Linked DNA regions of Drosophila melanogaster. The gene in region 3 interacts genetically with the main gene of each other region. Each region holds a gene or a part of one and is shown on either strand. Other genes may lie near its edges. The genes, in order: mud, erm and pros.

Evidence for each region.
Region 1: of pros (region 3) and mud, changing one suppresses a phenotype caused by changing the other (phenotypic suppression), as found in Drosophila melanogaster (one study listed by BioGRID).
Region 2: of pros (region 3) and erm, changing one suppresses a phenotype caused by changing the other (phenotypic suppression), as found in Drosophila melanogaster (one study listed by BioGRID).

The regions. Positions count from the first base shown.
Region 1 is NC_004354.4:14,245,590-14,249,343, forward strand, and holds the start of mud (mushroom body defect), read left to right. Parts: upstream 1-2,142; 5' UTR 2,143-2,530; coding exon 2,531-2,569; exon of another isoform or gene 2,570-2,635; coding exon 2,636-2,810; exon of another isoform or gene 2,811-2,946; coding exon 2,947-3,531; exon of another isoform or gene 3,532-3,601; coding exon 3,602-3,708; exon of another isoform or gene 3,709-3,754. Other genes in the region: CG32599 (uncharacterized protein), read left to right, coding at 30-175, 241-789.
Region 2 is NT_033779.5:1,952,891-1,956,644, forward strand, and holds the start of erm (earmuff), read right to left. Parts: upstream 1,664-3,754; 5' UTR 1,436-1,663; coding exon 1,424-1,435; intron 1-1,423.
Region 3 is NT_033777.3:11,326,674-11,330,427, reverse strand, and holds the start of pros (prospero), read right to left. Parts: upstream 1,949-3,754; 5' UTR 472-1,948; intron 1-471. UniProt on the Drosophila melanogaster protein: Homeodomain protein that controls neuronal identity. As a transcriptional factor, regulates the expression of ftz, eve and en in a subset of neuroblast progeny and modulates the transcriptional activity of other homeodomain proteins such as Dfd.

The DNA.
Region 1 (3,754 bases), on a different chromosome or scaffold from region 3:
ACGAACTCAACTCAAATCCATTTCCACAGTGCTCTTCCTGGCCGTCTACCATGCCTGCGTCCGGAAGTCGGAGAACTCGCTGGCTGGCGTCCTGGTACCGGCGGGCATCATGCTCTCTTACGGCGCCTGGGTGGTCGTCCTGGCCAAGAGGGACAAGCACAGGCGTGCCATGTTTGTAGGACACACCAAATACGAGGAAAGCCAATGAATGATGCTCAGCGATGCTCTTTCATTTTCCAGGAGCGGCACATCGAGGAGGTGACGCTAAAGAACAAAATCGAGCTGGAGGAGAAGCATGCGCGCCACGCGAAGAAGGCGCAATCGCATCATGGTCACTCCGGCACCGATTCCACGGGCAGTGCCTCCAGTTCGCTGCACTACGTCAACGAGCTGCTGCCCAACGGTGGCGGTGAGCACCGCAAGAAGCAGCGACGCCATCGTCACAAGGAGCGCTCCGTGGAGCGAGATGATCATCATCAACGTAGCCATCAGCGCTCGCATACGCCGGACATTGGCGTGCATCGTGGAGCGCCCAAGAGGCCCAGTTTCCGGCAGAAGCTCTTCGGTCAGACCATCGCCCATGTCAAACTGGTGGAGGCGCAGAGCGATAGCACGGATTCAGCTGGCGCATCTGGTCCGGGTACGAGATCAGGTCGCAGTACGGTCGCCAGTCCAGGTGGCCAGGCCAGTGCTGCGGCCAAGCTCAATCCCGGCGAGAAACGACAGCGACTACAGCGCCTGGACACGTTGCCACTGGCGCAGGTGGTGCGTGTCAGCTCGATTCCGTGAGATATAACCATCTGGATGGATGTACATATGCATGTGGAAGTGGAGTAGTTCTTTCTTTTTTTTTTTTTTTTGGGGGGGGGGGGGCGGAGGCCCGACCTCGCCATTGTGTCGACTAAATAAATGTATTATAAAAAATATAAACAGGAAATTCGCCTTTATAAATAGACGGCAATCAAAAGGAAGGAAATGTTCCGATCTTCGTAACGAAATCAATGCTAAATACGTGAGAATTGTATTGTGCACATAGTTCAGCCCATCTGGCTTTTGAATATTTTCAAAATCGTGTGTTTACAACTTGATTTAAGTGAGTTGTAAAACTAATAGTTATGGAATAGTTTAGTTCGAGATTTTTTGGCGAGGTGTTTTCAAGTTGAAATTCAAGTATTGTAATTATTGATTTTCGATCAAGCTGATGGCTTTCTTTTTGTAACGCTTAATTTAGACAATAGTTTTTGAACCGCTTGTCGTTTTCGCACCACCATATTGTTTATTCTGCCTACTTCCTTACGTTAAAATGTTTGGTTTTTTCTCTGATTTTTTTTTTTTGCTTTACATGTACATCAGCGGTGCATTTCCATTGTTTGTCCGAATTAATGGTGGCGTTATTTTTAACGATCAGCACTATAACTAGATTTTCGGCTACCCTGTGCTCGTGTGCGTGCCCAGAAACGAGGATGGGTGGGTGGCAATTCCGGGCACATTGTTTTCGGTCATTGATTATTGTTATTACAATTTAATAGTTTACATGTGGTGGGCCACACTCGGTCGCTATTGGCCATCGGATTTTGGAATTCCCCGCCAAAATAGAAGCCACTTGGTTGCTTGTTTACTTGGCAGGAAATTCGCATTGTAGACCAGTGCCGCCATCTATGTGTGAGATTGGGGTAAACACAAAAGGCGGTTTCAATTATGGAATTTGCTTAGTTTTTCAGCATAGCGGGATTCAACTAGTTTTTCCATACTTGGAAAATTACATTAGATAATATATATTAATTACATATTAATATATTAATTGATAATTTCAATTGAAAATATCACTATATACTTTGGATACTTTGGTATTAAAGCAACAGGTTATTGCAGTTGGAGCCGTTCCACTAAGGCAGGAAAGCAGTTCGTAACAAAGTAGATTGAATTATTTATCAAATTTCATGTGAAACATTTGTTTCTTGAATTATGCAATATGCCATGGTGGAAACACAAGCCACTTCTTTCGCACAGATATCGATAGCAGAAACGCATCTAGTGGACGCGGCCTGGCTTGCAGCTGGAAAGTATCGATCGCCCGATAACAATACCCGAGCGCACCTCGCATGGCGTCGCGCTGCGGCATTTGAATTAAACGACGCGCCGCCGAAACGAGAAGTTGTTGCATTTTTTCGTATCTAGTTACCTATGTTTTCGTTTGTGGAACTGTCAAAATTGTTTGTTGCCCTGCGGACTTCAGTTTAGTCATTAAATTTTCATTGCTCGTTCGGAGCAGTTGTGCTTCTGGTTGGAAAATACAAAAAAAAAAACAAATATTCGGTTTTCGTGAGCATTTGTGCTAAATATATTTTTTGTTTAATTGCGTTTTCGATCGAAACCCGTTTGTTTCGCGTACATTGTTTTGTGTGCTGTGCCGTGTTCTGGAAAACATCCGTTACTGGATGCCAACAATGATAGTGTGATTAGTCTACGCAGACATTGAGCATACATATACGGGCGCACACACACCCATAAAAACGCACAAAAATTCGCAATGGACACGCGCAGCTGGCGCAAGGTCCTACTCCAGTGGGTATGTAAATCTCGCATTGCGCATCACGCACTGGGAATCATTTAGATTAACCCAATTCTGCGGCAGATTGGCGAGTGCCACTTCATCGAATCGAACTACATTACCTTGGAGCAGTCGGATCTGGACTCCTTCTTTTCGGTCTTCATTCAAAAGATCCAGGAGACGGAAAATGTTAAGGGGAAGAATGAGCTGCAGGATCAGCCCACAGAACAAAGCCCCCTTGTGCAGGAATTCCTAGCACGTAAGTTTTTTTTTACCTATTTTCCTAGTTTCTCATAGGGTATAGGGAAACATTAATAAATAGTGAAGCCTTAGTATGAGAATTTAGCGCACTTCCAACTTCATGAACCCACTAACTTGTAAATTTTCCCATGCAGATAACTATCCCGAGTTCATTGCACAACAGGATGACAAGGAAGTCGATCTGCCTTTGGATTGCCTTTACGTTTACACGCTCCTGTTGCATTACTCGTGCGTTAAGAAGCCCAGCTTGTTCTTTCACAACATCTGCAATAAACTGCCGGAGCTGACACAGACATGCATCGCATCCTTCTTTCGAGAGACCGTGGACAGGCTGTTGACGCGCGAATATCTTAGCCAGGCGATCGCCAACGTTGCAGTTGTTTACCGACAAGGGGTTTCGACCTCAGTCAGCCCATGTCTTCCCAGCAGCAGCCTGAGTCCCGATCCGAGGAGCGATGATGCACCATGCCCATCCACGCCCTCATCGTCATCGTCACAGCCGTCGAGCAGCACGCCACAGTTGCGCAATCATCGCGAACAACTTCGCCTGAATGGCTGCGAAATGCCACCTCCTTCGACCCCGAAAACGGAGCTACTGGAGCAACGCACCAAGGAGCTGCGCGGTATTCGTACCCAGCTGGAGGTGGTGCGCTACGAAAAGGCCTTGCTGGAGGAGCAGCAAATGGAGAAGGACGAGCTCATTAAAGTTCTCAACAAAGGTTAGAATGCTTCGAATGCATTACTTTCATAATTTTTTTACAAGTAATTTCATAATCGTTTGCATTTCAGAGAAAATGATGGCCAAGATGGAACTAGAAAAACTAAGAAACGTGAAGCTAACCGAAGAGCACCACGATAACGAGAGCCACCACATTATGCCATATGAGTTTGAGCATGTAGGTAGACTAGCGCAGATGGTCACAGGTAGCGAGCGGGAGCTAT
Region 2 (3,754 bases), on a different chromosome or scaffold from region 3:
GAACAAAGAGCCAAATTGAGTATGCAAACTAAGCAACGGGTTATCAATTAATCGAAGGCATACGCCTCCATTGTTTGTGGCCACAGTTGGGGGGAAATAACTAGGATAAATAACATTTCTGGTTCCCATACCTTTCTAAAAACTTCTTGCCTTCAAAAGCATATATGTAAAGCATATATTTCGGTTTATAATTATGAATATAATAACAACACCTATTCCCAAGTTGCTCGGATTTCAAGTGGTCCCTATTGTTTTGACCGCAGCTGTACGGACTATTTACCGCCTGATCAGTCAAGTGCAACTAATGCGTTGGCAATTCGGGAGCACAAACAAACGCCAGCGGAGGGCGTGCTCCCAGCGGCAGGACATTTCCGCAGGATAATTCAGGGCCAGCCAGCGGGTTGCAATTAAACGCAAACCGCAGTGCGTTCCATAATATTACCCGATCGATTTTGCATACCACGCTATTTGCATTTAACCCGTGCTTTGCCCTGGCTTACACTCCACTTAACCCAAACAAAGACCTCAATCCTTTCGCCAGCATATTGCCATCAATCATAACACAGGCCCAGTAAGCAGTATGCGAATTTTTTGGCGCGGGTCTTGGCTTTATGTGAGATTCATTAAATCGCTTACACTCGACTGGAGGTGTAAGGCCGCCTCGCCGCCTCGCCGGCTCCATCTTCCCCATGTGCCCTCGAGTGTGGCTAATGTGCGACATCCGGTGCGATTACCGACTTCCTTGCCGCTTTTAATTAACTTGATTTGACGCCTCAGCAGGCCCAGCTCCCATCTGGGTCCGCAGTTCGCCCATCTTGCAGTTTCCCTTCCAAAGTGCGCTTTAATCTCATTAAACGAGAGGCGGCAACCATTTCACACGCTGACCCGGAGGCAGCGGCGGTCAGCCCTCGATCCCAAAGTTTCCCGGGTGCCAAACTACTACTACTACGAACGAGTAGTTCCACTTTTAAGCAGCCGAATTATGTTGGTGTTCTAGTGGCCACTTCAAAATTTGCCTCTACGAACGCCACTTGGGGAGTGCGAACCACATCGAGCTTATTAACCAAGTGCGTGGAATAATATTCAATCAACGGAGCACACAGGCACTTGGAAACTTTGTCTTGAGTTGAACAAGTGGCTATGCCCTAGCACATGTTAGAAGTTATGAGATGAAGCTGGCTTTTGATGGGGTTAATCAAAATCATAAGTGTTAAGAATGATGGTAAAGATACAAGACGAAATACTATCTAAAGAGGACATAGACCTATGTAAATGCCTGCTTTTCTTACGAACGTCACGCAAATAGCTTCGAAATGCTTCTAATATGAAAAAGCGAACTTGTACTTTATAGTTTTTTCCTTTTCCCGTCGGAGTTTTGCAATTACAGAGTAATAAATTAAGTTTTTATGTATCGAATACGTACAAAGTAAACCATATTCAGGCACTGCCTATGTGGATATCCAGTTCCCTTGGCAGGCGGCCGATCTCCACTTGTTAGAGGCAAAACACAACAGTTGGCACACACAAATTGAACTTGGTCCTTTTACTTTACTATTTAAAGTTCACTTGTTTCGTCGATAAGGATATACGCTTTTTAAATGCAAATCGAGGGACGCGAGGAACAGGACGCGTTCAGCACAGGATCAGCGACCGAAGCGGAATGAAGGCAAACAGCGAACGGTGCGGGCCTTAAGAAATATGAAAAGGACACACGGCGAGTGCTGGGGTGAATCCTGGCGAAACAACCCCCGAGAGTCCTGCGTGCTGCCGCCGTTGGCGAGAGTGAGAGATGAAATGCATGCCGAGGGAGAGAGAGAGATGGATGCAGACGTCCTGGTCGAGCGACAGAGCGAGATGGATTGATGGGAGCGACGGGCAAAAGGAGAACTTAATCATCACGTTCAGATTGGAGGATATGTCCTGACGCCGACGTCGCCGTCGACTGCGACTGCATTATGAATGAAAAGACAAAATGTCGAATTGGAATATTACGGCGAAAGAGAGAGGCAGTGAGCAGAGACCGCCCCTAAAATATTTATATAGAGATAGAGCTCAAGAGCCCAGGAAGATGATACATAGAGGAGTGACGAGATGGAGGAGGTTCCGCAAAAGAGGGAGCGCACTATGCGTAGCACTCGGCTGCTGGAAAGAGACCGATGGACGGACGGAGAGATGGATGGATGGATGGATGGATGGGCCACCTTTGGCCGTATTCCGTTCACACTTGATTTGGATGGGGCGACACCAGACACCAAGAAATGGCAGCCACCGGCCTCGTGGATGCCTCTCGAGTTGACTTTTTCACTGGCCCACCCCTTTCCCCGTTCCCCGTTCCCAGCGCATCCCCCTCCTGGAAAGCTCATGCCTTTTGTTGGGCGTTTCAATTGTCGTTTTGGCATTTCGTTTTATCAGCGTCTTTGTTTGCTCACCTTTAGCCCGCCAGCGGGCAAGGATTCTTTGATTCTCTCCAATTCTTCATCTTTTTTTGCTATATACAGAGAAAATAATTCACCCGTAATCCAATCAGTAATCCCTATTCTATGTAGGAATGTTAGTCGCAGGATAAGCATCAATCGCCAATTTTTAAAGATTGTAAATTGTATAAAATTGGTTAGATAACTTTATATTATTCTTTAGCTTCCCTGTTCTCTAGGTGCACCTTTCTCATTTGTTTGATTTGAAGCCCCCTGCATCGCCAGCCAGCACTAGTTAAATATAATCCCATATTCATTTTGATGGCATCTCCAGCGCGGCTTTCTTGACTTTGTTTGCTCTGGCAGTGCTTGTCGTCCTGCTCCACCAACTCCATCCGTTTGCAGGACCACGGTCCAGGACCTTTTCTTGGGCAATGCAGGGCACATGGCTGCTTTTGCTGGAGTTGAGCAGTTCAGCAATTGCAGCTGCAAGGCCACACAAAAGCACAACTCTTCGGCGAGTCCGACGGGGAGCGTGGGGGTTTTAGTGGATCCTTCAAGGACTATGGCCGCCATTTCGACTGCATTTTCCGTTAATCTGGCTTGTTGTGCGGCTCTTGTGTGGGGAAATCGATATGCAAATATCAGCTCTTTGTTGATTAGGTTTCCTCATTGGAGTAATGTTGATTGGATGGGTTGAATGTGGCAACCATAAAAACTATTGTACAATATTTGTAAACTATTTGTTTGATTCCTTTGAGATGCCGACGGGTAAATCTACTTTAACATGAAAATTCATGGAAATTCGTAATACTATTATAGGTGTCTTCTACTGCCTAATTTAACAAGCTTCAATATTGTGTGAATAATTCCAATATTTTAGTAAGCATACGTTCGACGAAGCAAAAACAATCCGGTGATTATCCTTGACAAAAAGCGGGCAAAACAGCGTGATTAACTGGAAGCTAAATGAACGGCACATACTGAAATGTGCAATCTGCATTTAGTTGAATAAATAAACGCAGTGAAAAAAGGCAGCAACGAGGGGAAAATAGCAGCACAAACAACAACCAACTGGACATTCAACAAACAAAACGACCACGGCCTATGCAGCTTTTATACACTAACAGAAAAAGTCTCAGTAATAGTTTACATTTGAACTGTTGAACATTTTTCAAAAGAGAATTTAGAAACGGAGTGAAAAATATTAAGCTTACTACTACTACATATTTTTTCTATCTGTAGTTATCTTTGCACCTTATCTCTCTTCCACTATCTCTGCTCCTTTTCACCTCTGTTCATTTCCATTCAAAAGCCATGTAAGCACACACACACACTTA
Region 3 (3,754 bases):
TGACTGCCCTGCTTTCTTTCGTTGGTGAAATAGATTTTGTGCCTTAAAAAGAGTATATCTTTGAATTGATTTTAACTTAGATGATAACATTATAATTAAAGAATGAACCTTTTCCTAATTTTTCTAATGAAAATCAATACTGCTCAATGTTTCACACTCATATTATCCATTTACTATTTGTCTTAAATGTCGTTCTCTTCTCGTTCTCTTCCAAAAATGATCAGTAGTTAAATGCTCACTGTTAATCATTTTCTTATGATCAAGCATCCCATAATAGATACTTTTCTTAATCAGAACATCTTTAAATTACCTAGATCTTAAAATATACGCTTCGAATGTATTTATTTCCCTTATTTCTCTATCTAAATTCTATAATTCTGAAAAGATAAATAAACCCCAATGAGTCAATGATTGATGAAAAGAATGGAGTAATGGTTGAAAAATGAATTTTTGATAGTGATCTTTACTTACCCTCAAATAAAAGTACATCGAAAAAATATCACATCACAACAATTTTTGATATTCCGTTTGCATTTAATGTTCTCTCTAAACTTTGATTAATTTTCTCACTAAGTTCCGTTTTTTTATGCTTCTTTTTTAATTTTTTTTTTTTTTGTAAATTTATTTTTATTTTTTTGATAAATTATTATAAGAAAATTTTGCACTTGTAAAATTTAGCGTGTAATTTTTGTTGCATTCATAGACTTTTTGGTTGTTTAAAAATTTTCAGGTAATTTCGTAGTTTTCGATTTCGAGTGTTGACTTCTGCTCTTCTTCGCCTTTTTTTTTTTTTGTTCTCTGGGGATCCTTTCCAAAATATTTGCTTGCCGAAATGCACAATACAAAAGGTGAATTAACTAAGGATCTACGTCTGAATTTGTAGAAACTGAGAGTGTGTCGGGACGATGACGAACCTTTGGCCGAGACTTGAAGACGGAACGGGCCAGACGATATCGAAATCAAATTCAGACGCTTGAATTTTTGCTCAAATCGGAATCGGTGCGGTACTGAAACTGGAGTTACTCAATCGTTTTACTTTATTATTTTGGTTTTTCGTTGGTTTCTGCTGCTGACGTTACGGACTGACTGGTATTGCCTGCTTATTTGGTTGCTTCTTGGCTTTGACTTGCTTTGTTGTGGCTAGTTGTAGTTGTTGTTTACGAACGAAATGTTGCGTTTGACTGGCGCTGATTATCAAGTGATTAATATTATCGATATTGGTAAAAATGTAACTTTGTCTATTTTGTTATTTGTTGTTGGCTGGCTGGTTTTGTTAGTTAGTTTTGGGAAATGAAGAAAAAACTGCTCTACATTCTAGTGCCGGCGCTTACATTGTCTTTGGCGCAAGCCGGCCGTGTGTGTTTTTGGGTTTTTGGCGGGTAATTTTTTGCACTCAAGACGGCATGGCGAGCGATGGCTGTTCGAGCCCCAGCCCGAGTCTTAGTTCGAAGGGCTGGCGGGCCAACGGGGCGTATGAGCGCCTGGGCCGCATTGCGTATACGTAGTGTGTTCCAGGCTGGGTGGTGTAGGTGGTACGTACATAGGTGTCTAGTCTTGCACTTCAAGTCATTTTGCACACACTTTCACTTTCACATTCACTTGGCACTTTTTTTCGTTCTCCTATCGTTTCTCTGCTTCGATGTCTCTCTTTTCTATTTCTATTTGTTTGTTTGTTTTTCTTTTGTTTTTCGGTATTTTTCTGTTGTAGAGTTTTTTCTTGGGGTGGCTAACTGCTTCTGCTACTGCCTCTGGGTTTGATTTATGCAGATGCGAAGAAGTCTGCGAGAAGTGGCGACCTGCCTGCCGACTGCCTGCCTGCCTGCCTTGCACTGCCTACTGATGTGCCTTGCCTGCTGTCTGCTGCCTGCTGCTGCCTGATCCTGGCAGCACGGCTCAGTTCGATTCAGGACAGGCCAGGACAGGGAGACAGCGAGAACCCGAGGAGCAGAAAAAAGCGCCGCAACTTGTTTCGCGTTTAGCAGTTTTCTGTTGCAATGTCCTGGCAAAAATTGCTAACGATGACGGGCCCCAGAGTCACAGAGCCAAAGCCAAAGCCAGAGCCGCTGTCGATGTCGATGGCGTCGTCGCTGCAGCGCGTTGATTATGAGGGACGCCAGCCCCTCGGCCGCTGATGCTAACGCTGATGGAGTAGGATGATGCGGATGTGGATACTTGGATACGTGGATACGGATGAAAGTGGCCGCTGGCCGGGCGCGAAACGCGCAAAAAAATTCCGCGGCTACGTCGCAGCTGCAGCGCCAACCGAATTGTCCTCGTCCTTTTTGGTTTGGCTTTGGCGCAAAAAATTGCTGCGACTGCGACGTCAGCGCCGCTCCTAGCTGCTAGTGTACATATACATGCAAACCTCGCACACAACCACAAACACACACACACACCCACTAGAACAGTGGGCGCACATATGCATTGCTGGACAAATCCAAAAACACAGAGAGAAACAGACAGCAACGCGCGCTCAGTCGCGAAAAATCAAAACAAAGCGCGACGACAGCGGCAGCGGCGTCCTCGCCAATACATGCACACTGCGAGAAGGACACGGACAATGCACATATCGCACACACACACGCTGGCATGCTGCCCCACACTCTTCACACTTTCAATCAAGAGCAAAACGCATTTTGCTGCGCCTAAAAATCAAACAACGCCAAAAAGTATGGAACACCCAAACCCCCAAACGACTGATGAGGTGGTTTTTGGACTGGGCAACTGCGTGGTGGTCTGTTTCGCTGACTGGGTGGCGAAAAACTGCAGCTATCGAGCCTAAGTGTACCTAAAACCCAGCCCCTTTTCCCGCCAGATGGACCATACCATTTCGCAGATACAGATACATCTGCAGGGAGGTAGTGTGGCAGCTGTGGGAGCTGTTGCTCCTGGCTGTGCACTGTTCATGTGCCCCATCCGTCCATGCATCCATACATCCCATCCGCACACCCACCAGCCGACAGGACCCGCCATGTGGCCATGTTTTGTTTTGATTTCGTGCTTCTCACACACATCCATATGCGGGGAAAATGCAATTTTTTCGTTTTCATTTGCAATGCCAAAGCAACAAAATGAAAATCGCAAAAAAAGAAGAGGGAAACCTGAAAGCAAAAAATAAAGCAAAACCCTAAGCGAAACGTAAAAGTTTTCTATGTTGCCCCTGCGCGAATGCAACACACATTTTTTTCCTATTTTATTTTGCCGCCATTTATGGGTGTTGGTTATTGGCACTGGTATTGGTATATCGTCAGAGTTGGCATTAAAATATCCAGCAAAGAAAACTGCAGCTGAAAAAAATGTAGAGCGTCGTCCGCACTCATACCCCGCCAAAAAGGATCCGCGACAACAAGAGCAACAATAATAGAGCCAGCATAAATTCCTACTAACTCATGCACATGGGGGTTCTGGGAAAGCGCATCAAAAAAGCGGAGAAAAATTGGTGGGCGAGTGCAGCGACAGCCACTGCAATTCTCTATGTACGTGCTCAGAGATATATGTGTCCATATATATGTACATATATATATGTATATATATATTATATATATGTATATCAGTGATATATAGACGAGGAGGCACAGATCGGAACTAGGCAGCGCCTGCATTTAATCCTACGCATCGCGCTCGTTACTCATACGCCGCGTATTCCCGGAAATGGATAGAACGCGGGCACAGGTCTGGGATGGCGCAGTTTAGGCCGGATAGGAACAGCAGCACCCACAATCTCCACCCAGTACATGAAGTTTATGGCTTTATC